Linked DNA regions of Tamandua tetradactyla. Each later gene encodes a partner of the first gene's protein in a complex. Links are inferred from orthologs where the notes say so. Each region holds a gene or a part of one and is shown in the gene's direction. Other genes may lie near its edges. The genes, in order: STRIP1, STRN3, STK25 and STK26.

What was found.
Region 2: the proteins of STRIP1 (region 1) and STRN3 are in contact, whole or in part, in a cryo-EM structure (PDB 7K36), measured with the Homo sapiens proteins. The link is inferred for Tamandua tetradactyla from reciprocal best matches to the Homo sapiens genes STRIP1 and STRN3. Residues at the interface, in NP_149079.2 of Homo sapiens: Arg441, Ile445, Tyr447, Leu449, Thr455, Val456, Val457, Gly458, Leu459, Arg491, Ser492, Pro493, Leu494, Ser495, Phe792, Leu793, Pro794, Val795, Asn797, Cys798, Leu799, Val802; in NP_001077362.1 of Homo sapiens: Thr64, Pro66, Gly67, Leu69, His70, Tyr71, Gln73, His74, Val88, Glu89, Ala91, Glu92, Ala95, Arg96, Phe99, Leu100, Glu103, Gly106, Gln107, Leu110, Asp113, Leu114.
Region 3: STRIP1 (region 1) and STK25 share a complex: the UniProt entries of both Homo sapiens proteins name them as parts of the core of STRIPAK complex. The link is inferred for Tamandua tetradactyla from reciprocal best matches to the Homo sapiens genes STRIP1 and STK25.
Region 4: STRIP1 (region 1) and STK26 share a complex: the UniProt entries of both Homo sapiens proteins name them as parts of the core of STRIPAK complex. The link is inferred for Tamandua tetradactyla from reciprocal best matches to the Homo sapiens genes STRIP1 and STK26.

Annotation. Positions count from the first base shown.
Region 1 is NC_135337.1:12,888,851-12,896,035, reverse strand, and holds the start of STRIP1 (striatin-interacting protein 1), read left to right. Parts: upstream 1-4,173; 5' UTR 4,174-4,182; coding exon 4,183-4,362; intron 4,363-6,905; coding exon 6,906-6,975; intron 6,976-7,185. UniProt on the Homo sapiens protein: Plays a role in the regulation of cell morphology and cytoskeletal organization. Required in the cortical actin filament dynamics and cell shape. Part of the striatin-interacting phosphatase and kinase (STRIPAK) complexes.
Region 2 is NC_135340.1:23,298,142-23,305,114, forward strand, and holds the start of STRN3 (striatin-3), read left to right. Parts: upstream 1-3,953; 5' UTR 3,954-4,318; coding exon 4,319-4,576; intron 4,577-4,682; exon of another isoform or gene 4,683-5,042; intron 5,043-5,183; exon of another isoform or gene 5,184-5,306; intron 5,307-6,973. UniProt on the Homo sapiens protein: Calmodulin-binding scaffolding protein which is the center of the striatin-interacting phosphatase and kinase (STRIPAK) complexes.
Region 3 is NC_135329.1:80,165,931-80,173,457, reverse strand, and holds the start of STK25 (serine/threonine-protein kinase 25), read left to right. Parts: upstream 1-4,507; 5' UTR 4,508-4,699; intron 4,700-5,079; 5' UTR 5,080-5,203; coding exon 5,204-5,233; intron 5,234-7,527. UniProt on the Homo sapiens protein: Oxidant stress-activated serine/threonine kinase that may play a role in the response to environmental stress.
Region 4 is NC_135353.1:30,555,814-30,563,211, reverse strand, and holds the start of STK26 (serine/threonine-protein kinase 26), read left to right. Parts: upstream 1-4,397; 5' UTR 4,398-4,518; coding exon 4,519-4,520; intron 4,521-7,398. UniProt on the Homo sapiens protein: Serine/threonine-protein kinase that acts as a mediator of cell growth. Modulates apoptosis. In association with STK24 negatively regulates Golgi reorientation in polarized cell migration upon RHO activation.

The DNA of each region.
Region 1 (7,185 bases):
TAGATAAGGTTTTTTACATCCTCTTACAGATGGAGAAGTTGAGATGATGCAGTTGAGCAACTTGCTCAAAGGTAGCAGATGCTAAAGACATCTGCATCCCAGCCCAGATTCACTTTGGGATTAAAAAATCTCAGCAAACTGATAAAACATCTCTATAAATTACATGGGAAATAGTTTGTGATTTCTATTTAAAATTGTGGTACTGAGTTACTGAGTGATTTTTTTAATTTAATTTATTTTGTATTATCAAACCAAAACAACATACAAACATGAACATTCTTAACATACAAACATTCCATGTATGGTGTACAGTCAGTGGCTCACAATATCATCACATAATAGTATATTCATTACTGTCATCATTTTTTAGAACATTTGCATCACTCCAGAAAAAGAAATAAAAAGAAAAAACTCACACGTACCATACCCTGTACCCCTCCCTCTCATTGACCACTAGTATTTCCATCTACTCAATAGATTTTAACTTTTGTTCCCCCTATTGTTTATTTTTAATCCGTATTTATTCATCTGTCCATATCATAGACAAAAGGAGCATCAGATACAAGGTTTTCACAGTCAACAGTCGCATTGCAAAAGCTATGTCATTATACATCGTCAAGAAACATGGCTACTAGGACATAGCTCTACAGTTTCAGGCACTTCCCTCTAACCTCTCTAATACACCTTAAACTAAAAAGGGGATATCTATAAAATGTGTAAGAATAACCTCCAGAATAACCTCTCAACTCTGTTTGAAACCTCTCAGCCACTGACACTTTCTTTTGTCTGATTTCTCTCTTCCCCCTTTCGGTGGAGACGGTTTTCTCAGCCACTTGATGCTGAGTTCCAGCTTATTCTTGGATTTCTGTCCCATGTTGCCAAGGAGGTTTACACCCCTGGGGGGCATGTCCCACATCGAGAAGGGGAGGGCAGTGAGTTTGCTTGCTGCATTGGCTGAGAGAGATAGGCCACATCTGAGCAACAAAAAAGGTTTTCTGGGGGTGATTCTTAGGCCTAATTTTTCCCCCTATTACATATTTATTTTTAATCCATATTTTTTACTCATCTATCCATACTATAGATAAAAGGAGCATCAGAACAAGGTTTTCACAATTACACAGTCACTTGCGAAAGCTATATCATACAATCATCTTAAAGAAACATGGCTACTGGAACAAAGCTCTACAGTTTCAGGCATTTCCCTCTAGCCTCTCTAATACACCTTAAACTAAAAAGGGGATATCTGTATAATGCGTAAGAATAACCTCCAAGATAACCTCTCAACTCTATTTGAAACTCGCAGCCACTGACATTTAATTTTTTCTCATCTCTCTTACTCCTTTCAGTGGAGAAGTTTTTCTCAATCCCTTGATGCTGAGTCCCAGTTCATTCTAGGATACCTATCCCATGTTGCCAGGGAGGTTTACACCACTGGAAGTCATGTCCCACGTACAGAGGGGGAATCTTATGCCTAATTTTAAGTAGGCTTAGTCTTTCCTTTGCGGGGATACGTTTCATATAAACAAACCCCAAGACTGAAGGCTCGCCCTATTGATTTGGTTGTTCCCACTGCTTGCAAGAGTATCAGGAATTCTCCAAATGGGGAAGTTGAATTTTCCCCCTTTCTCACCATTCCCACAAGGAGACTTTGCAAATACCTTTTATTCGTTGTAACCGAGTGATTTAGACTTGCAATTTTAAGTTGCTGGAACTGGAATTAACCCAGGGGGTCTGGCCTCAGAATCAATGCTCTTGACACTAAGCAATACCACTGTTAAGAAACAGCCCCAGTTCAGTTCAACTTGTGGCAAACAAGGTTTTGGTACGCATACCAAGGTAACGTGAAGCTTGTTAAAAATACACATTCCTGGACCCTATCCCAGGCCTACTAAAACTAACTCTCAGGGCCATAAGGAGACAAAGATTCTGAAAATCAAATATCTCTTCAGAGTCACATCACAGTTGATGAAGTAGAGCCAGGATTTGACCCATAGTCTTTCTGGCTCCCAGATCCCATCCCTGTCCCTCCACTGACCTGCCTCCCTTTGGCCTTCTAGGCAGCTTCTCATTTCAGGCACACTTCTCATACCTTAGCAAAGTTTCTCTCAGCATCAGAAACTTGCCACAGGCATCCAAAACTCAAACCGCAGGTCCCAAGCCTTTCCTAACTCTTCCTGAACGCAGACATTGATAACCTGCAGAAACTGAGCTCTGCTTCCAGAAGCCAGAGCCAAACTGGGTCAAAAATATCCACACTTAGGGCACCAGTAGTCCACTGATAAGCCCTTGGGCTCTTGGGCTCTTGACTTGGTTGCTCTTAAATCACAAAATGACTCATCTTCATTATTGATTCTATTATTTCAGTGCATGAAAAACAAAAGGCCCATTCTCTTCAATGATTCTCTTGCCTTTGTATATCTATCTGGGAAAATTACTTCTGAAGGGCAACTGAGAAGTGTTTTCTAGTCCGGGAGCAGATGAGGAGTCTGGATAAATTTGAGGTAGCACACTGCTCTCCAGGTCAGCTGAACAGACCCCTCTGAAAAGCATTGACTTGCTGCTTGCTTTCATGCAAATTTGTCAACTGAGGGGATAGGTTTGAGTCTTGTTTTTGTGCATGTGTTTTTGTTTTTTAAGCAAAGCCTGCTTTAGCTCAAGTTTAATGGGGAGATTTAATGAGGAGGGAACTGTCTTTCTCTCACATACGGTGGGTAGCAAACCAGCACTTGCGGCTTTTTCCTGTCTGAGCTGTGGGTTTGCTATTATCCAGTAAACAAGCTCTTTTGCTTTTCTAATTTTCTTCTCAAAATCAAACCATGGACTATAGTTAATAGTACAATTATAAAATTGGGCTCTTATCAGTTGTAACAAATGTATCACACTAATGAAAGATGTTAATAATAAGGTGACTTGTGGAACCCTGTACTTTATGCATGATTTTTCTGAAAACCCACCACTTTTCTCTAATAAAAAAATAAATGAACAATATGAAAATACCACTACATGATATGAAAATGAATATGCTGCAACCCCTATCATTTAACCTTATATATCATTTGAATCTGTCCCATCACCTCCTTCCTCACCCCAAGTCAAGCCTTGGGATGAGCCAGCAGCCCTGGAACATCATCAGAATTGAGCCAGTGGCTTCCAGCTAAGTCATCTCCAGGTTCACCACCCACAGAAACTGATATAATAAATGTTTTTTGTTTTAAACCTTTAGGTTTTAGGATAATTTGTTACACAGAAATAGAAACGAGTGCAGGTACGTTTGGATACCGTGGTGCCCTGTACACGCAGCTTTCCCATTCATGGCTGATGCACTCATCCCTCAGCCAGGTTTCCCCTGGCTGGCTCAATTTTAGCTGCAAAGACCTCAGGGCTCTGCACTTAGCTGGTCATTCTGCCAGTGTCACCTCCACCCATCTTTGCATGGCTCTCTCCCTCACTCCTTTCAGGACTCAACAAAATTGGCCTCCTTATGCCTGCCTGCCTTGTCCAAGCAACCGAAAATAGTCAAACCTCTGCCCTCACCCCCCATCACTTTCTAATCCCTTACGCTTCTTTGTTTCTCCACAGCACGTATGTCTCTAATTATGTATGTACTTGTTGTTTGTCCTACCCTTTTAGACATTATGAATATACTATGTGTTGAGGAACTTGACATGTTGCCCATTCTATTCGACTGCCTGGAGCATAGGAGGTGTTCATTAAATATTTGCCGAATGAATGATTAGTACTTTCAAAATTTTTATTAATTTGTTTAGTGGCTGTCTCCCCCATGTAAATGTACATTCCGTGAAGACTAGAAGCTTGTCCAGCTTGTCTACGGCGGCTATATCCGCAATGTCTTTAACAGGGCTGTAACAGTGACAAGTGCAAAGTACCATTGAGTGAAGGAGGCGACAACTAAATTGAAATTTCTAAGGAAGTCCTCACAGATAAAATGTCATCCAAACTATCGGGACTGGAAAGAGAGCGGAAACTAAAATTGGAGAAAAGGGAAGAAGTACAAACATTTCAGACACAGGCAATCACGGGAGCTTATTGAGCAGCCAAGATGGCTTCCAGCACACGCTGCCACACTTAATATGGCGACCAGGGAGATTCCCTGACAGAAATCACGCGAGAGTTGCATCACGGCGACTCGGAGAATTGAGCCGGGGGTGTGGAGCAACCAAGATGGAGCCGGCAGCTGGCGGCCCGAGCCCGCTCATCGTGAACAACAAGCAGCCTCAGCCGCCGCCACCGCCGCCGCCGGCATCCGCTCAACCTCCACCCGGGGCACCGCGAGCCGGCGGGAGCCTTCTGCCCGGGGGCAAAGCCCGAGAGTTCAACCGCAACCAACGCAAAGACTCGGAGGTCAGGATATCAGGGGGGCGAGGTGGGCACTGGGCGCGCGGCGGCGGGGATCCGAAGTGGATCCCTTCACAGGGTCCACACTGGGCTTCCTAGAGGGAGTCGGCACGGCCGGGCCTGGGAGCTGTCATTTTAAAGCGAGAGGGGCGGGAAGCAAGACTGGTGTCTCCCGGGCCAGGGGTGTGAAGTCGGGGTCCCCGCCCGGAGCCCCGCCGCCCCGGAGGACTGTCCGGAGCTGGGTGACGGCTCGTGTGCTCCTCTGGGACCGGAACTGTGGGGGCGGCCTCGGGGCCACAACCGCTGGGAAAGCCGCCCTCTGGCCCAGTGCGGTGGGAAGAGTCATTGGTCTGCGTGCGCTCCCGGGGGCCGGGGCGGCTGGACCCCAAACCCCCTAATCTCTGAGCCTCTGGCCTCGGCCCCGGGCTCGCGGGCTCGGGCTTGTGGCTCCCGCAGCGCGCTGTGGACGGCATGTGTGGGCAGAGGAGGAACTGGCGAGGGTTTAGAAGGCACTTTGAAGCCGGACGGAGCTAATTATCATTAATGATACTGTGCGCCCAGAGGTTGCGAGGGTAGGAGGGGAGAATCGCCCGGTTCCCTCTGATGCTGTGCTGGTGTTTGGTGGTTGCTATGTCCCGTGTGCCTAAAGCTGAAATATTAAAAATCCGAAATGCACATTTTAAACATGTGTTAGAGCTCAACATCCCCTTCTCTCTTGCTAGAGGGCTGTTCTTCCGTTCTGGAGCTGACTATTCACCTCTCCCCAAGTTAAAGAATTCCTCCCACTGCTTCCTTTTGTGGAATTCATGAATGAAGACACATACATCGCAGAATTTTAGGGTTTCTTAATTAGCACGTTTCCAGAACACTTACTATGAGTCTCCTTCACCTGAGATAACTCCAAGGCTGGTTGATCATCAGTCATGCACTTACTGGGAAGGAATTCCTTTTTGTCAAGAATGTACTGGGTCATACCACCCAGTGATACTGTCTTTACACCTGTGAAATCAGTTCTTCTCAAACTTTTATTTTGTTTTTTGTTTGTTTGTTTGTTTGTTGGCAAGCCCAACACACATTGTAAAACATGTCAAAATATGGCAACTATAAAGTTTATGTGCCCTGAGCTTGAAGTGAATTATTTGATAAAAGGAATGAAGTCAACTTTTCAGGAGCCCTAAATAACATGATGGGGTGATGGGACAACAATGGTGAATTCTTCCTTTATTGTTATTATTTTTTCCTCCAGTGGTGAGTTCTTACTACCCTTTGAAGTAAGGAGGGTTATGAAAATGATAGGGGTGAACCCACCTTCATTTTGAGAGAAGATATAGTTTAAAAAGAGTTTTACATTTTAAGTACTTATGAATAATAGTTAATGCATTTTAATTTCCCTTTATGCCCTTTAATTAGCGCAGGGAAGGGCAGTCAAATGGATTCGTTTAAATTGAGAGAAGTCTAAGTTCATTTTCTTAGTAGATGCTGCTGCTGCTGCTCTCTGCTCTTTCTTTAGTCATAGTTGAAATCAATAGACTGGGAGCCTGAGCAGAGTGAATGCTTGGAGGGCAGGGAGGCTGACACTTGATGAGAGCCCACTGTGTGCTACATAATTTTGATTACTCCTTAAAATCAACAAGGTAGATTTTTGTCCTCCCCATTCCATGTGTTAGGAAACCGAAGCTTGGTTTGTAAAAGTGTACACTGTGTTGCCTCTGAATGGGCCAAATAAGTAAAGTTCTTTTAGTTGCCCTGTGTTTGTGGGTCTGCTCTCATAGCATACCATGGATGGTCTTTGTCTTCTCAAGTAGATTACGATTCAGACTAAAACATAACCTATTGCTTCGCTTCCTCTTTCGCCCCAATACAAGAACAAAGAGTGTGTTCTCAGTAATCATCTGCCCCAGCAGTAAAAATATTATCTTTGTCGCGTTGTCCCATGTGTGGGAGGGAAGCCGTTCTCTGCCACTGCTGCCTTCTCCAGTCCTTCAGTTCTCATTGAAATTTGAGAGAGGGGCAGGAAAGCTGAAGGGCTTTCAATACCCACTTTGTCTTGAGCAGTTAATAGTCCACTAGCTAGAAAGAAATGAGGCTTCTGGAATCTTCGCACCATCTGGCTTGGTCATTCACTACACAAAATACAGAGAAGCATTGTATTCATTCATTCAACAAGTATTTGAGCTTAAACTGTTCATTCACTCATTCATGCCAGGTACTGTGCTGGGCATTCTGAAATCATCGGTGAGCAAATTGGATAACATTCCTATTTTCAAGGAACTTGCAGTTTCGTGGAAAGATAGATACTACACAAATATAAATGCCAATATATAATTCGAAGTTATGTTAAGTGCTCTGAAGGAAAAGTATAAGATATTCAGAGAGGATTTAATAGGGAAAACTGAGCTGGCCCAGGAGACAAAATATTGTGATAAAACAACAAAAAAGTGGGGCAGTGATATCCTGTAACACAATGGTGAGTCTGGAAGCATGTTTGTTTTTTCCTTTGGAAAACTTTTTGAATGTTCTTTTGCATAGGCTCTCTTGTATCTCAACAGGGCTATTCCGAGTCACCAGACCTCGAGTTTGAGTATGCTGACACAGACAAGTGGGCTGCAGAGCTCTCTGGTAAAGCATAGATCATTGTGTTGTTTTGGGGATGAGGGAAGTGTGTTTTTTTTCTTATTGATCTTTAAGAATATGAATATTGTTTTGAAATTAATTTTTTTCTCAATCCAATTAGTGATGTGTATTAAAAATATTATTTGGTTCAAGCCTTGAGTATCTCATGACTTTAGATTGTCCTTCACTTTTTTGAAGCCTCTGTGTAGTCAACTC
Region 2 (6,973 bases), on another chromosome or scaffold:
AGATTCTAGGCGCTCACTGTAGCATGTCCTCATGAGTCATGGGCATAAAACTCAACATCAAGAATCTACAAAACATTCTCCCAGCAGAGGAGAAAACCTTGGTGTTCTTAACTTTTAATACCCAGAGCATTCGCTCATCGACTTTAAGAGGTAGCTGGCACAACTAATAAAAATGATTAAGATCAAGGAAAAATATTCATATTAATATAAACTTAAGTTATTCATCAGTCATTTAAGAATCAATGTACCAGATACTGAAGGTACAGTTGAGAACCAGAAGGGCAGTAGAGTGGCTTAACAACAGGAATTTATTAGCTAGCAGTTTCAGAGGCCTCTTTCCTGGGTCAAAATCTTTTTGTTGGCTGACAATCTTTGGTTTTCTGTCACATGACAATGCTTATGACAGCATCTTCTCCTTTCCTTTCCAGATTTTATTGACTTCCGGCTTCTCACTGCTCTCCATTGCTTTCCTTTCCGAGTCCAATTTCTTTTGTTTCTAAGGACTTCAGCCCTATTGGATTAAGGTCTACCCTCATTCAAGTTGGGTCCAACTTAACTAATATCTTCAAAGGTCTTATTTACAAATGGGTTCACATCCACAGGAAAAGCGGCTGGGATCTGAACAGTCCTCTTGAGCAAGACAAGATTCAATCCTCAACAGTCTCTAAATAATTTAGGGATCTTTAAAACTTCCTGGAGGAAGTAATGCTTGACCTGAGTTTTCAAGGAAGACAGGAAAGAAAGGCAATGGGGTATGGCCTGTGTTTAGTCACTGTGAAGGAATAGGCCTTATGCATTTGAGGAACCCAAAGCAGTGCGATTTGGCTGAAGAGAAAAGTGCTGTGGGGTGGGTGTGATGGAGTGATGGTAGTTTAGGCTATAGTGAGAATTTAATACTTGAAGGACCATATTTTAAATGCTTAGCTAAAATTTGGGGCTTTAACCTAAAAGCCTTGGAGATCACTTAAACAATTTAAGCAGGGGAACGACAGGGTCCAGTTTGCTTTTTAGGCAGCTGTGGTAGTGGGAGCTGAGGGGAGAGTAGAGGTGGAAAGGTTTAAACTAAGGCATGGATGGAGATAATGGAGTAGACATAAAGGATGTTAAAAGAGATCAGATGTAGGGGCTAAGTGAAAGGCACTAGAAGACTTCCAGGCCTCAGGTTTGGATCTAGTGCCACCTAATAAGATAGGTAATAGAAGAGGAGCAGAGCTTTCAGATTTTTTTTGAGGGTAGGTGAGGAAGAAAAGACAGAAATTCTAAAGTGAGCTTGAGGTATCAGGGAAACACAAATGCACATTTTTCCTCTTCTTTTGATGCTACCATCAGGGAGGTGAACTACACTATCTCAAAAAATGTTTCTTAAGTGTATATGGGTCTAATTTCTGAACTTACATCTGAACTTCTTAAGTGTATATGGGTCTTCTGAACTTTTTTATGCTATGAGACTCTCCCAAAAGTTAATAGGATTTAATAAATGGGTGAATGTTAGTTGTGACCGAACTTGCAACTAACATACATGTATATATATTCTTCATATATATAGGAAGAAACTTAATAGTACTGTGATCTAAGACCATATTTCATGCGTAAATAAAATAACATGGGGAACAAGTTCAAGATGGCTCTCCATTAAAATGTTAGAACAGTAAACTGACAAGATTTATCAACAAGATAAAATAAGATATATTTTTATCTCTTTGAAATTAGATCCTAAATGGAAGTGTATATTCCATAGTGAAAATTTTATTGGCTTTTGTAATAAAGAAAAAAATTCTTAAAAACAAAACCAACTTCCTATGCCACTTCCCAGTATAGCTTTAATTTCTAAATCTCTTTATTACAGTAAATGTTTTTTGTCATATTTTTCAATCGAATGATTATCACTTTTTTTAACTCATTAGTTCATTAGGATGCTCCCTGGGGCGCTAAGCCATAAATGTGCACTACTTAAAGAAAATTAACCTTAGTAGACTGATGGCTATAGTGGGTTGGAAGCAAGTTTTTGCTTGGTGGGAATAGGGTTTGTAAAATAAATTTTAAAAATTAACCTTGTCTTTTATATCTATATTATATTCACTCAAACCTTTGGTGACCTGGGAAAATACTTTTACCCTTTCATCTAGGATTTTAAGTTGTGTTCACGCTGCCTTAGTTGCTACTTCATCAAAATATTTTGCCATGAAGTCCCCTTGGGGGAATGGTGAGAAAGGGGGAAAATTCAACTTTCCCATGTGGAGAATACCTGGTATTCTCTCAAGCAGTGGTGACAACCAAAGTAATAGGTGGAGCCCTCAATCTTGGGGTTTGTTCATATGAAACTTAACCCTGCAAAGGATAGGCTAAGCCTACTTAAAATTTGGCCTAAGGGTCACCGCCAAGAGAACCTCTTTTGTTGCTCCGATGTGGCCTCTCTCAGTCAACATGACAAGAAAACTCACTGCCCTCCCCCCTCTATGAGGGACATGACTCCCAGGGGTGTGGACCTTCCTGGCAACGTGGGACAGAAATCCTAGAATGAGCTGGGACTCAGCATCAAGGGATTGAGAAAACCTTCTCAACCAAAAGAGAGAAGAGTGAAATGAAACAAAATAAAGTGTCAATGGCTGAGAGATTCCAAACAGAGTCAAGAGGTTATCCTGGAGGATATTCTTACCCCTTAAATAGATATCACCTTTTTAGTTAAGGTGTAATGGAGCGGTTGGAGGGAAGTGCCTAAAAATGTAGAGTTGTGTTCCAGTAGCCATATTTCTTGAAGATCATTGTATAATGATAAAGCTTTTGTAATATGACTGTGTGATTGTGAAAACCTGATGTCTGATGCTCCTTTTATCTACCTTATCAACAGACTAGTAAAACATATGGATTAAAAATAAATAAATAAGAGGGGGAACAAATGTTAAAATAAATTTTGTAGATTGAAATGCTAGCGATCAATGAAAGGGAGGGGTAAGGGGTATGATATGTATGAATTTTTTTGTTTTCTTTTTATTTCTTTTTCTGAATTGATGCAAATGTTCTAAGAAATGACCATGATGATGAATATACAACTATGCGATGATATCGTGAGTTATCGTTTGTACACCAAGAATGGAATGATCATATGATAAGAATGTTCGGGTTTGTATGCTGTTATGTTAAAAAAATAAAAATAAATATTTTGCCATGAATGGCAATATCTGAGGACCTCATTTGCTTCTAAAATTATTCCCTTCAAATTATTAGTGTAAGCAGTCTCCTCGAAAATTATCTTCCTCCCTCTACTCATCACCAAGATCTAAAGGATTCCATTGCCACCCCCTCTCCTCCCAAGAAAAAGAAACGAAAATGCCAACAATCGCTCCTGCTCCCCTCCCAAGTCTCCCCAACACAATCCCCTTTCCCAGAATAGTTGAGAAGAGGTGAGGAAACGGAACAAGCGACCGGCGAACAAACGCACAGAAATGAACCCAAGTCCGGGCTCCGGCGAAGTCGGAGATTACAGTCACCATGTCCGGAAGGATCTGGGCCACTAGCCAAAAAGAGAAAGTCCCCAAAGCCCCGGGAAACGACCGGAAGCTAGGCAACTATAGAAAGAGCGAGTGACAGGCAAGGAAAGACGCCCGACCCTGTGGGACTGCCAGAAACATGCAAGGAATGCAAAAGCAACGTCAGGAATCCCGGACGCTTCGCAGCAGGCCAGAGCGACCAACCCGGTTAAAACCCAGCTTCGACCGCAGCCAGGCGATCGAGGGCCCTGGGTGGGGAACCACGTCTGGGGGCGGCCTGCAACAGAGAAACTGACAACCGGGATAAGGGAGGTAGACTCGCTCGGAAGAGCTGAACTCCCAGACCAAGGACTGACGCCGGCCGCCAAACACGCGGAGCTCCTTGGGGGCGGGCCTGGGGGCGGGGCCCGTGCCCTTTCCCCGCCTCTTAGCGGCGGCCCTGAATGCTTCCCCAGTGCGCCTGCGTAGGGCGAGGCCGGCTTCTATTTGGCTATTAGGCGTGCGGCAGCTGCGGCGTTCTCTACCCGGCATGCAGCGCGGAGCGACGGCCTTACGTCTAGCCCCTTCCCAACCCTGCCCCCTCCTTCCCCTCCCGCCGCGGCCCCCCCTTCCCCTAAAGTGAGTGAGTGAGACGGGCAGATGGAGGAGGGACCGTAATGGCGGCGGCCGGCAGCTCCCTGCTCTGACCTACAGCAGGCACACCGCAAGGAATCCCTCCCTGCCCCTGTCCCGGCCGACTTCTGCCCCGCCGGCAGTGCGAGGCCACCCTTCCCGGCCCTTCCTCCTGCCATCGACGTCTCGTCTGCGCCCCGGCCGGGGCCGCACACACAATGGATGAGCTCGCCGGAGGCAGTGGTGGCGGTCCCGGGTTGGCGGCACCTCCCCGGCAGCAGCAGGGACCTGGGGGGAATGGAGCATCAAGTGGCGGGGGTCCTCCGGCCGCCGAAGGAGCGGCCCCTGCGACGGGCCCCGAGCTGTCTCGGCCGCAGCAGTATACAATCCCGGGGATACTACACTACATCCAGCACGAATGGGCCCGATTCGAGATGGAGCGGGCGCACTGGGAGGTGGAGCGGGCTGAACTGCAGGTACGGTCTGTGGGGCGGCTGCCACGGTGGGGATCCCGGCAGGGGGGTGGGGCCGGGACTCCCCTCAGCCCGAGCCTGCGGTTTCGAGAGTTCAAGAGGAACCTACCTGCGCGGCTGCACGGGCAGCGGTCCTGGCGGCAGCTTTTTCTTGGGGTCCCCCTCCCCCTTTCCCACCGACGATTGCTCCCCAATCCTCGTTAGCTACGCGGTGCAGGCTTCCTTGGGGCAGCCATTTTGGTTTTTAGTATGGCGTCCGCGGGGGCTCCTCCGGCGGCGGCCTTCCCGGGCTTTCGGGGCTTGTGACCGAACTCCGCTGTATGGGAGAGTCCGGCGTGGGACTGCTGGGCACTGCACTCGTTCTCGTTTGGCTCTCTTGAGGTTGAGAACCACAGGAAAGGGACTGGGATGAGCGTTTTACCACCTTTTCCCGGACCCCCTCACCTCCCCCTCTTCCGATTTGGCTCGTCTGGCCCCCTCTCGCTACTTGGTACGCACTTGCGGGTTGACAGCCACGCTTCTTTTCCAGGACTGCTACCCAGCACAATGGCTTGAGGCTGATCTGTGAAGTTTTCATTTCCTACCTGCCAACTTTTAAGTACCTTCTTACCTCTGATGTTGCCTTAATCACTTGGATCCCTTTCTGTTCATCCTTACATAGTGACTCACCGGTGCTTGACTACTCTTCTCAGAAGACTAGTAAAATTTTCAATTAGCATACCCTTCACCCCTTGCCCCCATTCCCTGCATCCCTTTCTTTACTTTTAAAGCGAAACAGGACTATCTGTGCTGTATTTATGAAACGACTGAGAATAGACAATATTTGCTTGAAGCAAATGTACTTTTCTCACCTTAGTGACTCATTCAGGGGAAACAAAGTTAGTTGTCTTGAGTTTCATCACACTCATAATTGAGCCAGACACATTTCTTTTAAGGTGAACCTTTGACAGGATGCTTAACCTAACTTTTGGAAAACGTTGGTAGTTTAAGGGCTCGTGTCTTGGATTTAAAAATTGCTGCATCCCTTTGAAAGGGTTGTTGAACTTTTGGGGGCATTTGTAAGGGTTTATTTTAAATTCCTTTCCAGGATAAATTTAGGCTTATAAGAAAACACGCATCTAAATAGTGTTGCACCTGTTCTTCAGGCTGGTGTATATTTAGGATGTAAGCAGTATTGTTTGCTGTCCTATATGTCATATATACCTATGATGACTAGTTAGAAAAACATGGTGCTGAAAGAAGGAAGTTTGGATTAACTTTGAAAGTGTCATCAGAGAAATATAAATCTCTTCAGTTTGATTTTTTTAACTTTTTTAAATTGTGAAATGTAACATATGCAAAAAAAAAAGAAAGAAAGAAAAAAAATTTCAAAGCTCACCCCAACATGCAGCTACAGAACAGATATAATATTTTGATATGGATTACCACTGCACAGTTACAGGTTTTTCCTTTCAGCTGCTCCAAAACACTGGAGGTTAAAAGAAATATCAATATAGTGATTTAGCAGTCATACTCAATTTGTTAAATTCTGTCTTCTGTTATAACTCCTCCTTTGCCTTTGATCCCTCTTCTCTATAAAAATCTTTGGGTATGCCCTTTCTAACTTTTTCATGTTGATAATAATAGTATAGGGGGATGGAATTAGTTCAGTTTGACTTTGATCTAGTAAAATCTTGACTCCACAAAATGGATGAAGTTAAATTTTTTTAAGTAGAATATTTATATATTTTGACACTCTCTCAAGGCTTAGAAAATTACACATCAACACCTGTTAGTCAATTCAGTATTTTAAAATCAGGCTTTGAAACATTATTGGGCTTTGAAGAATAGTATAACTTTCAAAAAGCTTACATCAGAATTGTTTCTTTTAACATGTGTAGTTTGCTGTAAAATACTTTGGTAGAGATCTTTTGATATAAAACTTTCTACTATGCCATGCTGCAAACTTATTTATTTATTTACTATCTTTTAAAAATAAAAGTTGCATTTTCAAATATATCAAGGCTTCAACTCACTAAATAGCACTACTATTCCTGATATAGTAGTGTTTATAACCTATGTACTGTTGAGTGCAAGTTTGGATTTTAACACTCTGCAGATTAGCAATCACATTAGTCCCTCATAAACTTCACTAATAAAGGAGCTAAGAAAATGTCTTACTTGTATCTAATTAATAAACATACAGGTTCATGAAACTTGTAAATTAATGAAACCTAGGTTGTCTGTCCTAGCCCTTTCCAGTTTTCTTAATAGCAACAATGGAAGAATCCTTTAAGGAAGATTTTTATTGCTTGTCTTCTTCCTAGTTGTCTTTCAGTGACCTACTGTTGGCATTTTAGTTCTGATATAGCCAAACAAAACTTTGTTTTGAAGTGTTTCTAGACTGTTAATTTTTTTCAG
Region 3 (7,527 bases), on another chromosome or scaffold:
ACAGGGATTAGATTACTGCTTCAGAGCTATGGAATTATTTGGAATGTCTTACAAACAGTTGCTACAACAACAAAAAGGGCAATTACAATACATATACATCCCAACATGCTTTTAAAGACATTTGCATTGTGCTCCCATTCCCTTAAATGTTGTTCCCAAAGTTGCTCAGCCCTTGCTCAGCTGCAGTCTCTGGAAGAGAGGCAGGGACAGTTTGGTGAAAAAGACACGGGGCCAGAGTGGGTAGGTGAATGGGTGTGGCGGTGGACAGTGAGAGGAGAAAGCAGTCTTCCAGTGAAAGATCACCTCTCAGTTTAAAGATCAGCTTCGGGCAGGCTGGCCTCAGGTGGAGTCAGGGTCAAAGGGAGGAGCAGCAGCAGTGTGGTACTGGGGTGTTCTACATCTCATTCAGGTCAAGCAGAGTCTGGTCCAGCATTCTCTGTGTACAGAGATGCTCCTCTTCGGTGGTTTTCAGTTTATCTTCCAAATCATTAATTGTCTTTTCCAGCTTGGCTACTGATCTCTCAGCAAACTCGCTCTACCTCCTTAAGTTTATCAGTAAGAATCTTTATCTCTTCTTCATATTTGTCTTCTTCTTGAGAGTACTTTTCTTCAGCAGCACTCAGACATTTCAGGTTCTGGTCCATCAGGCCGATCTGCTCATTCATGTCTTGGCAACGGGACTCTGCCAGCTCAGCTCCTTACTCAGTGCGTTCCAAATCCTCTTCAATAATCAGCAACTTACGAGCCACCTCCTCGTACTTCCGATCTGCCTCTTCTGTGATGTGCTTAGCTTCTTTGAGTTGAATTTCCTGGAGTTCCATCTTTTAAAGCCCAGTTTTCAATAACCTTCATACTTCTCTCGTACTCCTCAGCAGTTTTCTCTGCTTCCCCAGCTTTTGCAGGGTAGTGGCCAGGCGCTCAGCAGTCTAGCTCTTCTTCAACCAGTTGGATCCTTCAGTTCAAGGAGGCCACTTCAGCCACAGCCTGTTCCCCGGCCTCCCTTCCTCCCTCCACTTCCCGCTGGAGGTGCTCGGCTCTCTCCTCAGCATCACTGACCTGCTGCTATAGAACGTAGATCTTGCACTTCAATTCCTCGATGGTGGTGATCCCCGCCATGGTGCCCAACTACTGCTTGCACTAGGCTTCCTGCCTCCTGTGCTCGGTTTTGCAGCCGCTTCTCACTAGAACTTTTTTTCTTTTTTTTTTTTTTAAGTCTTCGTCTGGTATGTACCAGGTCTGGTCCTCCTCATTGTTGGTCTCCAGCACTTTAATCTTCTCCTTTGCCTGGGACATTGCTTCCTGTTTCTTTGAATGTTTTGTTGAAACCTGGACATTTTCATGTTTTAGTGTGTTACTGCTGGAATTTACTTTCTGAGGCAACTATTCTTTAAGCTTGTATCCAGGTAGTGTTGGATCCGAGCTTTCCTTGAATGCCAGGAGCTAACCAAAATATAAGAAACAAAAAATAAACAAACAAAAAAAAATGGAAGAAATTAAAGAAAATACCTTTCCCAGTCTTTGCAGACTGACTTGCTTGAGTGCTCTCTTTCAGAGCTTACCTAGATAATGAGTTTAGAGAATAGTTTGAGGCCAAAGTGTAGGGACCTCCCTGATCCTTTCAGCATATGCACAGGTCACAGGCATGTGTGAATGGCCCTAGGAGTCCCTCTGTTTAAATGGCTGAGAATGTCCCCTCTTCTTTAAGGAACAGTTTCCTCACAGTCCCTGGCCCTGCACTGTGTGTTGTTCAGCGAGCAGTCCCCTGCCCCAGGCAGCCACTGGCCTGGTCCCCACAGCCCTGTAGGAGAACTCTGTGACCCACCTTCTACACACAGGGCAGGTTCTGGGACAGCGAGTCCCTCAGGCCACCACCAGTGAGACTGGGCCAGACCCCCCTGCTCCCAGCATGTGCACAAGGGTGACTCAGCTCCCTCCAGAGCGAAGACCAGGGATCCACAGTGGGAGCATGGGCCAGGGCCATGCTAGGGAGGGTGGAGAGAGGACAGCCAGGGTACCACGAGATTCTACTGGTTTTAAGATCCCCTTTTCTTGATTTGGTGTTTGCTCTTTTAGTGCAGTCCTTTAACTGTTTTCTGGAGTTTTGAGAAAGCTGCTTTGGGCAGTTCTTGCTGGTTGTTCAAATCTCCTGTAGTGGACACAGAGCCCTGTAGCTTCTCATTCTGCCATTTTGATCAGAGTGCGGTTCTCTAGCATTTGATTTTCTTTTTTTAGAGTTTGCATCTTTCTGCTTACATTACTCATCTGTTCTTGCATATCATTCACTTTTTTCCACTAGAGTTTTCTGCACATAAATTATAGTTTAAATTTCCACTTTATTCCAAAATCTCTGCCATGTTTGAGTCTCATTTGATGCTTGTTCTGCTTCTTTAGACTGTGTTTTTGGCCTTTTGGCATGACTCGTAGTTTTTTATTGAAAGTTGGACATGATGTATGAGGCAATAGGAACAGAGGTGAATAGGCCTTTAACTGAGGATTTTAAATGTATCAAGCTAGAAGATAGGTTGTGTTTATTGTTTGCTGTAGCTGTGATGTCAAAGGCTAAAATTTCCTCTAGGGTCCTTGTTTATGTCTCTGTATTTCCTTGGAGATTTCTCCTTAAATAGGGCCAGAACTCTGGAGTTCTTTTCAGCTATAATCCCTGTTCTTATCTAGGAGCCCTACTGATGTGGGACAAGAAGAGTCCTACAGTTAGTCTTGGTCTTTTAGTGAGCCTGTGACCCTAGGTTGTGACCCAGTATTTTTCATCTGTATTTTTTGTTTTGTTTTGACCCCTTAGGTGAAGCAGGAAGGCTAAAGTGGACTAGCTCTGGGTCCTTCCTTCCCTGCTTGCAGAAGGTTAGATGAGGCTGGAGTTGGTTATTTCCCTCTGGGGGTTGTCCAACTCTGGTAAGACCTGTGTTGGCGAGGTGCTGGTAAGAGAGTTTCCCCGGGGGACAGACATTTATTTATAAGGGAACAAGGACACTATTCACAATGGTCCCTTCCCCTTGTGCTGGAAGCATGAGGAGATTTTTTTCTCTCATCTTCACAGCAGTAATTTGGTGGTACCCCTAGAGACAGACTTCAAGAAAGTGTAGGGGTCTCCCTGGGACCCCCTGGAAATTTTCTTTCTCATGCTAATCCATCTTCATTGGCCTGAAGTAGTCAACTACCCTGTAAGCTGTCCTGCTGAGGGTGGCTCTGCTGCAGTTCCTGCCCTTGATAAGCTGAGACATTTCTGCCTCTCTCTCCAGTTTTTCGGGTAGTTTGCCCTGTGCCCTCAATTCTCTGATGGATCTAAGAGGAGTTATTCATACATATTACTTTCCTGCACTCACACATTCACTCCACAACTTTCACTGCATGCCTGCCCTGTGTGGGGAGGATGTAGGCACAGCCTGCTTGCCAGTGCTTAGCTGACGGTAAATAACACAACCCGTGAAAGATCAGGTGGCCACGAGTGACCTGCACACAGGTGCGCAGGGGGCCTTCCATGCACAGCCAGGAAGCCCCTGTACTTAGGAGACTGAAGTAACTCAGGAGGACCAGCTCCGTTCTGAGGGACAGCAGGAGCACGGGGTGTCCAGATGGTCTTGGAGGGCCCACCCAAGGCAGAAGAAACAAGCCTTTTCCACAGGACAAGGGTGCACTAGGAAGGCGCTGCCAGGGGCACGGCGCGGGCCTCCAAGGCTTCGCGGGCAGTGGTGGTGGCTGCCCTGACGTCCGCACCCTGGGGCCGTCCAGCCGCTGGCCCTGCGACCTGTCTGGGAAGCGCACTCTGTCCTCCCTTCCGCAGATCTTCCTGAGCCCCTGGACAGGGCGGGTCACCGTCCAGGGCCAGGGGTGCGTCAGCTGGGGGCGCCAACAGCCCATGAGACCATGAGCGCCCCTCAGCGACGGGCTTTGTCCGCAGGTGTCCCCGCGCCATCAGGTGGGTCCTGGAGGGAAACCAAGATGGAGAAACCAAGGCAGGAGAGGGAAGCGATCACACTGGATGGCCTCTCAGCGGTCTGAGGGAGCCGCGGCCGCGAACCCGGTTGTGGGAGGATACTGAGGCCGTCCTGGGAAGAGGTTCTCGCTGAGGGCCGGGCGGGAATCGGGATCCCGAGGCGAACTAGCAGGGCGCGGGCGCCCGGGGAGGGCAGCAGGGCGGGACCGGGGACGGGACGAGGGCGTGGCTGGCTCTGCGCTCGGGAAGGGTCCGTCGTGGCTTACCAAGGCGAAGCCCAGACGGCGCCTGCGAACGACAAACGCCAGTCAGGACGCGGGTGGAGGGCCCGGCTGAGACGCCCCCGCCGTCCTGACGCCGCCGCCTGCCCTGCGGCCTGCCGGGAGACGGAGTCCGGAGCTTCTTAGGAAGAGGGACTCCAAGTCCCAGCGAGCCTCGCGGGCGTGCCTTCGCGCACGACCCCTTCCCGGACCCGCCCGCCCCGGCTCCTGCTGGGGCTTGTAGTCCACCGTCCGCGGCGCCCCGCCGCAGGGCGCGCTGTGGAACTGGGTGTCCCAGAGAGCACTGCGGCCGGGCCACGACGCCGCGCGTATCTCTCCCCGCCGCCGGCCATTCTCCGGCGCCGCCGCAACTACCTTTATTTCGGGGCTGAGAGGCCCGGGCTTCCCCAGGCGGACCGAGGCTGCGGGTGGGGGCTTTCGCGGGCGCTGCGGAACGGGCCGGGGGAGCCCGGGATGGAGCCCCCCGGAGGTGGGCGCGCCGCCCCGAGGGCTTCCCCTGGCGGTTGGGGAGGGGGCCGAACACAGGGTGGGGGGCCCGGAGCAGCGGGGCGGGGCGGAGGGAGGCCGCCGGGCTGGCTCCGTGGTGGGAGGAGAGTCGGGGGGCGGGTACCGGGGGCGGGCAGGGCCCAGGGAGGACCCTGCAGTGAGGCGGGCCGGGGGATGCGGTGCGGGAGAAGCCCGTGCAGCCGGGGGTGCGCGGCCGGCGAGGCTCTCGGAGGGTGCTTTGGCGTTCGGCAGGACCGGCCGGGGGCGCGGAGGCAGGCACTGTCTGCAGGAGGGGAGTGGAGACGGCCGGGTGGGGCTGTGGGGCGCGGCCCGGCCACGGGGACCCCAGGGAAGCCCGAGCAGGCCTGCTGTCCCCGCCACAGTGGACTGAAGCGAACCTCGCGAGCGAGCCGGGTTCCTGAGCATCCAGACGGCCATCTGGAGGCCTCCTCGGGTTGCAGGCGAATGGTGTGACGCCGCGGGGGATATGGCTCACCTCAGGGGATTTGCCAACCAGGTAAGGAGCAAGTTTCTGGGTTGTATGTGGGTGTGAACCCCCTGAGACAAGAGCCTTGGCTGCCGAGTACGAGGAACGGTGCGGATCGAGATGGTGCGCGTTGTTGGTTGTACTAAGGAATTTATATTTCACCCGGGAGTGGAAGATTTGAAGGTTAGGGGCGCTCCGGGCCTGGGCTCCGGCACTTCTGGACAGGCATGGGGAGAACCCTGATCCCCGCGGGCTAAGGAGTTCGGAAATGTGGCCGGGGAGTTCACTCGGCCCTCTCCACGCCTAGGGAAGGCAGAAGGTGCGGTGTATTCCCGTGGCGTTGGGAGGGCACCTGGAAGATCACATCTGGCATTCATCTTTGGTTAATGGTTCTCCTGACCGCAGTGTGCAGTTGCAGACGTTAGGTGATTCCCGACAGGACCTGCGGACTCAGGTGGGCCGTGCAGTTTTCAGAGAACGGTTCTGCCGGTCCCGCGGTGGGAGCTTTCCACTGGACCCGCCCTTCCCTCGCTCCCCCCCCCCCCCCAATTTTTTTGTTCTTTGAAAGAAAGGTGTGATTTAAAGGTGATGGTGAAGTAGAATGGACCCTTCTGGTTGCCACGTTTCTCTTCATCTAGCCATTTGGTTTTGTTCGTAAATGCGAGCTTGGGGCAGCCTTAGACTGTTGGCGGGTATTGGAATCAGCCCTTAGAGAATGGAGCGTGATCCCACCAGCGTGAGTGCTCCATCAGGGGTGCAGGGGCGCCCACAGGAGCTTCTGTATGGGAGGCAGAGGCGGGAGTGCAGTTCAGTTCCAGGCTCAGGGCCCTTGCAGGAGGTGGGAGCTGTCTGGGAACGCTGGGAACCGGCTGCTTGACTGCTGGGCAGGCTTTTGTGAACCAGCTGGGGTCACAGGGGATTGGGTTTGCTGATGGGTGCGGAATGAAGCCTCCAGGCTTTAGGTTCTTTTATTTATTTTAATATTTTTTATTGACAAAACTTGACATACAAACATACAAACATTCCATAAATGGTGTACAATCAGTGACTCACGATATCATCACATAGTTGTGTATTCATCACCATGATCATATTTTAGAACATTTGCATCACTGTGTGTATCCATCACCATGAATATTTTCTAGAACATTTGCATCACTCCAGAAAAAGAAATTGAAAGGAAAAAGTTCATATATACCATACCACTTACCCCTCCTTCTCATTGACAACTAGCATTTCCATCAACCCAATTTACTTTAACCTTTGTTCACCTTATTATTTGTTTATTTTTATCCATGTTTTTTACTCATCTTTCTGTACCCTAGATAAAAGGAGCATTAGACACAAGGTTTTCACAATCAGTCACAAGTCACATTGTAAAAGCTATATCATTATACAATCATCTTGAAGAAACAAGGCTACTGGAACACAGCTCCACAGTTTCAGGTACTTCCTGATAGCCACTCCAATACACCATAAACTAAAAAGGGATGTCTATATAATGCATAATAATAACCTCCAGGTTAACTTCTCAGTTCTGTTTGAAATCTCTCAGCCACTGACACTATTTTGTCTCATTTCTCTCTTCCCCCTTGTGATCAAGAAGGCTTTCTCAATCCCTCGATGCCGGTCCTGTCTCATCCTGGGATTTCCCAGGGAGATTTACACCGCTGGATGTAAATCGCTTGCTGTATGGTCTTAGAGAGCGAGGCCATATTTGAGCAACAAAAGAGGTTCTTTGGGGGTGATTATTAGGCCTAATTTTAAGCAGGCTTAGCCTATCCTTTGCAGGAATAGGTTTAGTAGGGGCAAACCCCAAGATTGAGGGCTTGGCCTGTTGATTTGGTTGTCCCCATTGCTTGTGAGAATATCAGAAGTTCTCCAAATGGTGAAGTTGAATATTTCCCCCTTTCTCCCCATTCCCCCAACGGGACTTTGCAAATATTTATTCACTGTCCAAATCTCTCTGGTATTTATCAGAGCATCGCATTAACCTGGACAAACCAACACAATCTTATGCCCTGTTCAAGATTCTATGTACTTATGGTGTTCAGCTAAACTTACCATACAAGTTAAGTTAGGAAATGCACTACCCAAAATATAAATTTTGCACCAAATAAAAATCTCTTCCTTTAGTCTCACACAGAAGTTGAAGTCTTAAAATATGGACGATATCATCCTTTATTGGGTTCTTTTTTGACATTTTATGTGTGATGACTATATGATTAAGATGCTGAGAGAAATATCTGCCCCCGGTTTATTTTCAAGAGCTTCAGAAATAGCTGCCGTGAGTCCCTGAGTGAGAAGTTGGCGTTCTGAGATGC
Region 4 (7,398 bases), on another chromosome or scaffold:
CACTCACCACATCTCCATGAATGCGAAAGGTAGTATTATATGTACAACATTTCCTTATTCATTTGAGAATATAGAAATTACTATGTGGAAATATTACAGGACACATGTAAATTTACATTAGTAATTGTTACCTATATCATCAGTTGAGATGGAGCTTAATACTATTAGACTGGAATTGTATGATTAGGAATGAGATACTTATGAAGAATTCTTCAGGGTTCTCAAAGGACCACATTAGAGAGTCAAGCTGTCTCTTTGTTTAGATAATTGTTGCTAAACATTTGTCTAACTGCTAACATAATGCTACAGAGCTACTATGATATTTGAGTTTTCAAGTAATAGGGATGGAGTCATGGTAATTTCTGTAATTTCATGTAATCTCTTATACAGCTCAGTTGGGATCTGCAACTGTGAGATGGCTGTCTGAAGTTAGGGTTACAGGCGATATACATGAAATCAAATGAGGCCAACTTAAACAAATGGGAGTTCAACTACCAACCCTGACCTCAGTAATTGCATGCTCTAAACAACTGAGATAGATCAGCATCAGAATAATACTTAGCAAATTCATTCTCTGGAAATGAAGAATTAAGAAATTGAGTGTGAATCTGAATTTCCTTTAGGAGTACCTAATTTATCAACTACATAGCCAATTAGATCAATATATTTGATTTTTAATATCTACTACTCATTCTGTATACTTCAGTATAAATAAAAGATACCATCTCTGCTTGAATATAGAGATAATAATATGTGAATCATTCTAATGTATTACTAATAGCTGTGAAAACACTTTAAAGCACAATAAAGTACTCTAAAGCACTCTAAAGTAGCAGATCATTATTATTGCTATAATTAGAAGTGTCTCTTCTTAAAAACCAAAATCATATTTAAAATAATCTGATGCATACCTGGGAATGAAAAATACTAAGATAGGGAGTAATAACATGAACATATCCATGTTTTAGAAAGATTGTTCTGGCAGCTATATGGAGAATGGCTTGGCAGGGGATAAGGGGCATGGGGGAGTAAGGTGGGGAAAGAAGAGACACTAGCTATAGAGAGACCAGTTATTAGGATACAATTGCAAACAGCTCAGGCAAGAGAATGATGGGTTCAAGTGACATTATGGAGGTAGAAATCATAAATCTTGACAATCAATCAGAGGGGTGGGCTGCTGAGAGGAGATAGATATGAAGGAGAGGAAGAAATGAACAAAATTTCAAATCTGAGAAGAACTATTAACAGTATATAGTTATGTATACTATACTTTAGACAATATAAAAGTTCAGTTGGCTCTTCTGTGTATAGTGATTGGGCAATCAAATTCCTTCCTTTGCTTTTTTTTTTTGGGGGGGGGGTTGTTCTTTCGGACAGCAGTATCAAGGAGTCATAAAGCTCTCAAGTCTGAGTTCTGCTCCTAGGACTGGGTGTGCCAGGGAGGGCCACTTCCCATGAGGGTTTGTATGATGGTGTTAGGTTCCGGGGACCAGGTTGACCCATGGCAGCCGACAACAGTGTAGCCAAGTGGGCGAACCTGATTATTGGCCAAAGAAGGCTACAAAGGGTTCAAGTTGGAGAAGTAATACCACGTGCCAGGCCCCAGGGTGAGTGAGGCAAGACAGTGAGAGGAAAAATGAGTGAGGAGGTCAGAAATTAGAACAGACTGAGGAAGAATTAGGAAATCGGGTATGAAATGAGCTGGGGTGAATGGTTTGGGACAGAAGCCATAAATTCTGAAAGCGTTAAGGAGGCGTGTTTTCATGTAGTGTGGGCAGGTTGGTACAGGTACCTAATAGCCTAATGGCACTGAACAGGCCCAGACACCGTCTCTAGAACTCATAAGCCAAAGTATCTCTGGCTCGAGAACCTAAGAAATATCCATTCTTATCCATATTGGTGTTTCCATTTCCTAGCATTTGCAGTATCAATATACATTTTCATTAATAAGTTAGACCACATGTTCTTTTATCCCTTAAAATTCATGAGACAGATGATTTCTAATCCAGAAATCTAAACCCAAGGCTATCTATCTTTTCTCATTCTATTGGGTCACTATTTTCAAAGACAAATCCCCTAATTCGTAAACACAGACTGCTTCATTAACTGTGTTTAACAGGTAGCGGAGGCTTAGTTCACTGACAGCTGCCAGGTGGTGACTTGGAATCCAGCCCTTGGTTTTCGAATTTGCTGTAACATCACGAAGAGCATGGAGCACATATTTTACTTCAAGAAAGACATCTAATTTCATTCGGGGTTTTGCTCAGGTTTCCGTAATCTGTTCACGCTGCTCTGGGCTCTCCAAGAGGTTCGTGTTGGCCTTGTGGCTGGCAGAGAGTGAAAAGGGGAGTATGAAAAGTGCAGAAAGAAAATGTAGTAACTCCTTCCTCCCTCCCCCAAGATATAGTGATAGTGTTGTAAAGGGATAAAAAGCTCAAGCAAGAAAACTCTTGCTTGAGGGAAAATCCAAGCTGGAAAAGGCTCAGTAATCACAGCTATCTCCAAGTCTTTCCATCTCAGTTTTGATATTTGTTCTGCTCTGGGGCCTCTCCTCAAGCCTTGTAGCTGGAGCAATGGCTACCACCACCCTACCCCTAATCTCCTGGCTCAGTTATGGACAAATCCCTCTGTTCTCTCAAAACAGGGTTGGCATTTTTCAAGTAGACTTTTACTAAGAAAGAAAGAGAAAACTAAAGCAAGGAAACTCTGATGCCTAGAACTGGGCAGGAATTAAAGATCTGGGATTCTTTTTCCTAAGGCAGTGATTCTTAAAGTGGGGTCCCCATACCAGCAGCATCAGTATTTACCCAGGAACTTGTTAGAAATGCAAGTACTTTGAGCCTGCCCCAGATCTACTGAATTGGAAACTTTAGAAGTCGGGCCAGCCCTCCGTCTTTTAACTTCCCTCCAGGTGATGCTGATATACCCTTTAAGTTTGAGAAACACTATTCTAAGGAACGTGCAGCCTAGCCCTGGATAGCCTTCAGTGGTGCTGTCTGAAGAGCATTCAGCCTTCTCTTTTTTAACTTGCATTAACTATGTTTGCCTCTGGTTGCCTACAGTCTAGCAACTAGTAGATAACTAGTAGACTGGTAGCTAACGCTACCTTCTGCCCAGCAAACACCATGTTCTAGGCTAACATGTGTGCAAAGTATTACTACTAATAATCATTCCAGTAGCTTCCACATTTTTGCCTGTTTCGCACGTGCTCCACATTGTACTAAGCACATTACACTCACTGTGTTAGCTAATCCGAACGACAGCTCTATAAGAGAGGCATTATCATGCCCATCTTCCAAATAAGTAAATGTAAACTTGGAGAAGGTGAGTTGCCCAACGAATGCCAGGAAATAAGGGGCAGAGCCAGGATTCATACCTAGGTTTCTGGTACTCCAAGTCCATACTCACAGCCTGGATTCCATATTGCCTCCACACAGCCACGTGGCTCCTATGTCAGGCACCATGTCCTAGGAGCTTTTTTAACTGCATGTCAACTTCCTATCTTAGCTAGTAGACTCCTCTCCTCATACACTAGTTCTTTCACATAATATCCTGGACTATGCTATTTCACTTCATTGAGCTTCAGTTCCCTTGTCTGTAAAGTGGGAGTAATAATCCTTATTTAAGAGGATGGGTGTGAGGATGTGTGAATATACAGTGATGGAAATTAAATGTATTATTTCCTCCATTTTACAGGTGAGGAAACTGAAACTGGTCACTTGGCTGAGGCAAATTCTGCTGGCTTTTTACCTAAACTTATTTGAGGGTGTGAGAAGATCTCTGCTCCCAAAATATCTCCACTTACAACTAGGAGTAGAGGGCCATATTGAGTAAGTATTAACTTATTCCCTATTAAAATGGCAATGTTCTCAGGCCAAGGTATCAAAATGGGCAGAACACAGATACATTTTGATCAAAGGAGGTGAGAATGGCCCAGAATCAGGGCCTGGGGGAGTACCAGATTCATGCCTAGTTGCAGAGATGGGCTTTCAGCAATGAGAGGAAACAGATTGGAGTGGGGGTGTGAGGAGAAAGCAGAACCTCTGTCATGAAAAGTAGTGATGTTCAAACAAGTGGCCAACTTCACCGATTTACTCATGACCCAATTACCCATGTGACTGTTTAAACCCACATTTAGTCTTATCTCCCTTTTTAAAGAATTCTTAATGTATCTAAGGAAAGATCATATCTTTCCATTTATCCCTTTCCCCTTCCCGTTTCTTGGCTCTCGAGTATTTTTTTGTTTTTTTACATACTTCCTCCCCACAGATAAGGCTAGTTCTCTGTGAACTAGATGTTCACTCCTAGCCTTTCTTTCCTTCTCTGTTTCTTTTCTGTGGCATGCCCAGAACACATACAGTGTTTCAATTAAGGTACAGGTCATCCAGCCAAGGGTGGGTACCGGTGCATTTTGTGTAAACCAGCAGCGTCACACCGACAAGACAGAAGAAGCTCTGAGCAACACTGGATGAATCCATCCTTAGGTCTCGTGAGGACTGATGTGACAGAGAAGCTGCTATGTAAGTTTTCATGGGAGGTGTCCAAGTTTCGGGTTTTATACAGGGATTCTCTTTTAAACTAATTTTCTGTGCATGAAAATGTATTCTCTCCGAAATGTAACTTCTTTAAGAAAGATGTACATGAACTAACTGCAAGTAAATGCTTGACCAGATGATGGATGCTGTAGGGGAATTCCTCTACCTGCTATCTTTGTGGCAATCCATTCTTCCACAAGTCACTCGTAAAAAAAAATTCGTTTCTAAAGAGCACAGCACTTTAAATAGGATTCTGTGTAATTTAGGCTATCATTAAAAGGGATTCAAGTATAGTACAAATTGCAACCATCTTGAATTACCCACAAGGAATTCAAATACCATTCCCCTATTTTTGTCATAATTAAAAAGGAAAAGCCACGCTGGACCAAATTTCTGGTCCAGGCAGCCAAGAATTTTTAGAGGGGGACTCGGAATCATGTTGGCAATGGGAGCGGAGAGGGTGTGGTTGTTCTCCTTAATGACAACCTCAAAAGTTAAGACACTTAGAGCGGGCCACGGTGGCTCGGCAGGCAGAGTTCTCACCTGCCCTGCCGGAGACCTGGGTTTGATTCCAGGTGCCTGCCCATGCAAATTGAAAAAAGAAAAAGTTTAAGACACTTAGCAAGATTCTCTTAGCAGGTTATCTTGGTTTTATCTTTTGCAAATGTAGCCTAAATCTTTCTTGGTGCTCTTTACAGCTTAATTTGTACTGCTGCTTGAAGGTGGTGAGTTCCACAGGTTTTACTGTCCACTATATAAAGTCTCACTTCCTGTTGATTGCCTTGGATTTGACTCTTGAGTTTTAAGGTCTGTGCTGAGTTCTAGCCAGTTAATAGCTTTGGTTGCTATTTACTCTGTCCATACCCTTCAGGATACTTTTAAAATAAGGCTAATAGTGGGGACCTATCTCATAGGGGTTCACAGGTATTACAGGATTTGATACACAAAAAGCACTTGGTCCTGTAACAGACCCAGAGTGCACACTAAATAAGTGGTAAGTAGCAGCAGTAGTAACTCTGGCTGTTGCCTCTATCTTCATCGTATTGTGTTAAAAGAATCTTAACACCTTGAATGTGGCTCAGTCTAGCACCTTCTCATTCACACATTCTCAGGGCCCATCATTACACCACCTTTAGTTCCATTTTGGCTTTGCTGATTTGTGGCTTCCTGAATTAAGTGTTGTATTCCAGATGTGGCTGCACCAGGATTTAATTTTTTTCCCCCAAAATAGAATAATGTGTTATATTGTTTCTAGTCTGTTTTCTAATCATGCACAGCATTTTGTTGGCCTTTCTGGCCAAAAATGGCACAGTGAGGTGAAATTGTTCCAGAAATAACTTACAACTCCTAGCTTCCCTTTTGGGAGCAACAGAGATTATTATCAAACATGTATAGTTTGTATATATTTTTTCTGTGGATGCATTACCTTGCGGAGATGTTCTATTGTTCTTTTCCAGTTTTGAGAGACTTTCTTGCCATTTGTCCTTACGTCAGTTTGGCATTTCACTACTGAGAAGAGCTTAGTAGCTCTTACCACTGTGTAGACCTTCTTTCACACCACTTGTAACAGTTATCTAAGCCTGGGATCATGGAAACCTTAATACTGACACTTCTCCATCCAGAGAAGCACCCACACATTCCTATCCTTCATTTCCTTCTGTGAGTTAGCGCTCCTTCTATGACAAATTGTTTCCCCAAATCTCATAGGGACTCATTAAGCAACAACAACCAAAGTCAACAGCATGGAAGCTTGCCAAAGACTTTTGAAAAAGTCTCTATATATTCCATCCCCTGGTTCTTCCTTGCCCATATGTTATTTACTCTCCTAAAGAGCACTAGACATGCTATTCCCTCACAGAATCCCTGCTGTTTTTCCTCTGAAAGGTCATGTTTAACTGTGACTCTAGATTTATTATTTAGCTATAAAATAAAGCTTCAGAAAATTCCAGATTTTACTTTGTAAGAAATGTTTTCATAGAATCATTAAATGTCAGCGCTGGTAAGAATCTTAGAGATGATCCAATTCTCTTCATTTTACAATGAGGAGACTGAGGCCTAGAGAAGTTTCAGCCAAACTTGTTTTTCATCTGTTAATTTTTCTTTTTTTTTTTTTAAGCAAACTTTGAATAAAATTCTGGATCATGCTGAAATGCTTGGGCATATGTTTTTTTCTGATGTCTCAAACGGAATGTAGTTTTCTTAGTATGGAATACAGAGTAGATTTAACTTATGGAAGCAAAATGTTTTCAAGAACTCATCATTTTTTTTTAAATAGGCAGGTTACCTTTAACTTTATTGCCATAAGCTTTACCTCACAAATTGACTTCTTATTTTATTATTTTTTTGTTATTGTTAAAATCACATTACCAGGCTTATTTGGAGTTTACTGCATGCCAGACACTATTCTAAACAGTTTATGCAGATCCTCATTTAAAGTTCAAAGTTAGGCAATATGAATCTATGATGTCTGAAGATAGGGAAGTGGAAACCTTTGGGCTGGAGAAGGCAGTGATTGAATGAGAGCATCAGATGACTTCTGGCAAGCAGGTAATGTTCTCTTTCTTGATCTGGTGGATGGATACATGAATGTTTTAACTTTGTGAAAAATGAGCTATTCTACACTTATGACTTTGTGCAGCTTTCTGTATGTGTGCCATACTTCAATAAAAGCCTAAAGAAAGGGTAACACATAGTTAGGCCCTTACATCAACTTAAGTTATGTACTTTTAGTATCCCTATTTGACAGGTGATGGAACTGAGGCACAGAGTAGCTAAATCCCTTACTAGAGATCATAGAGCTAGTATGTAGACAAAACTAAGATTTGAACCTAAGTAGTCTAGCTCTGCAGTTCATGCTCTTAAC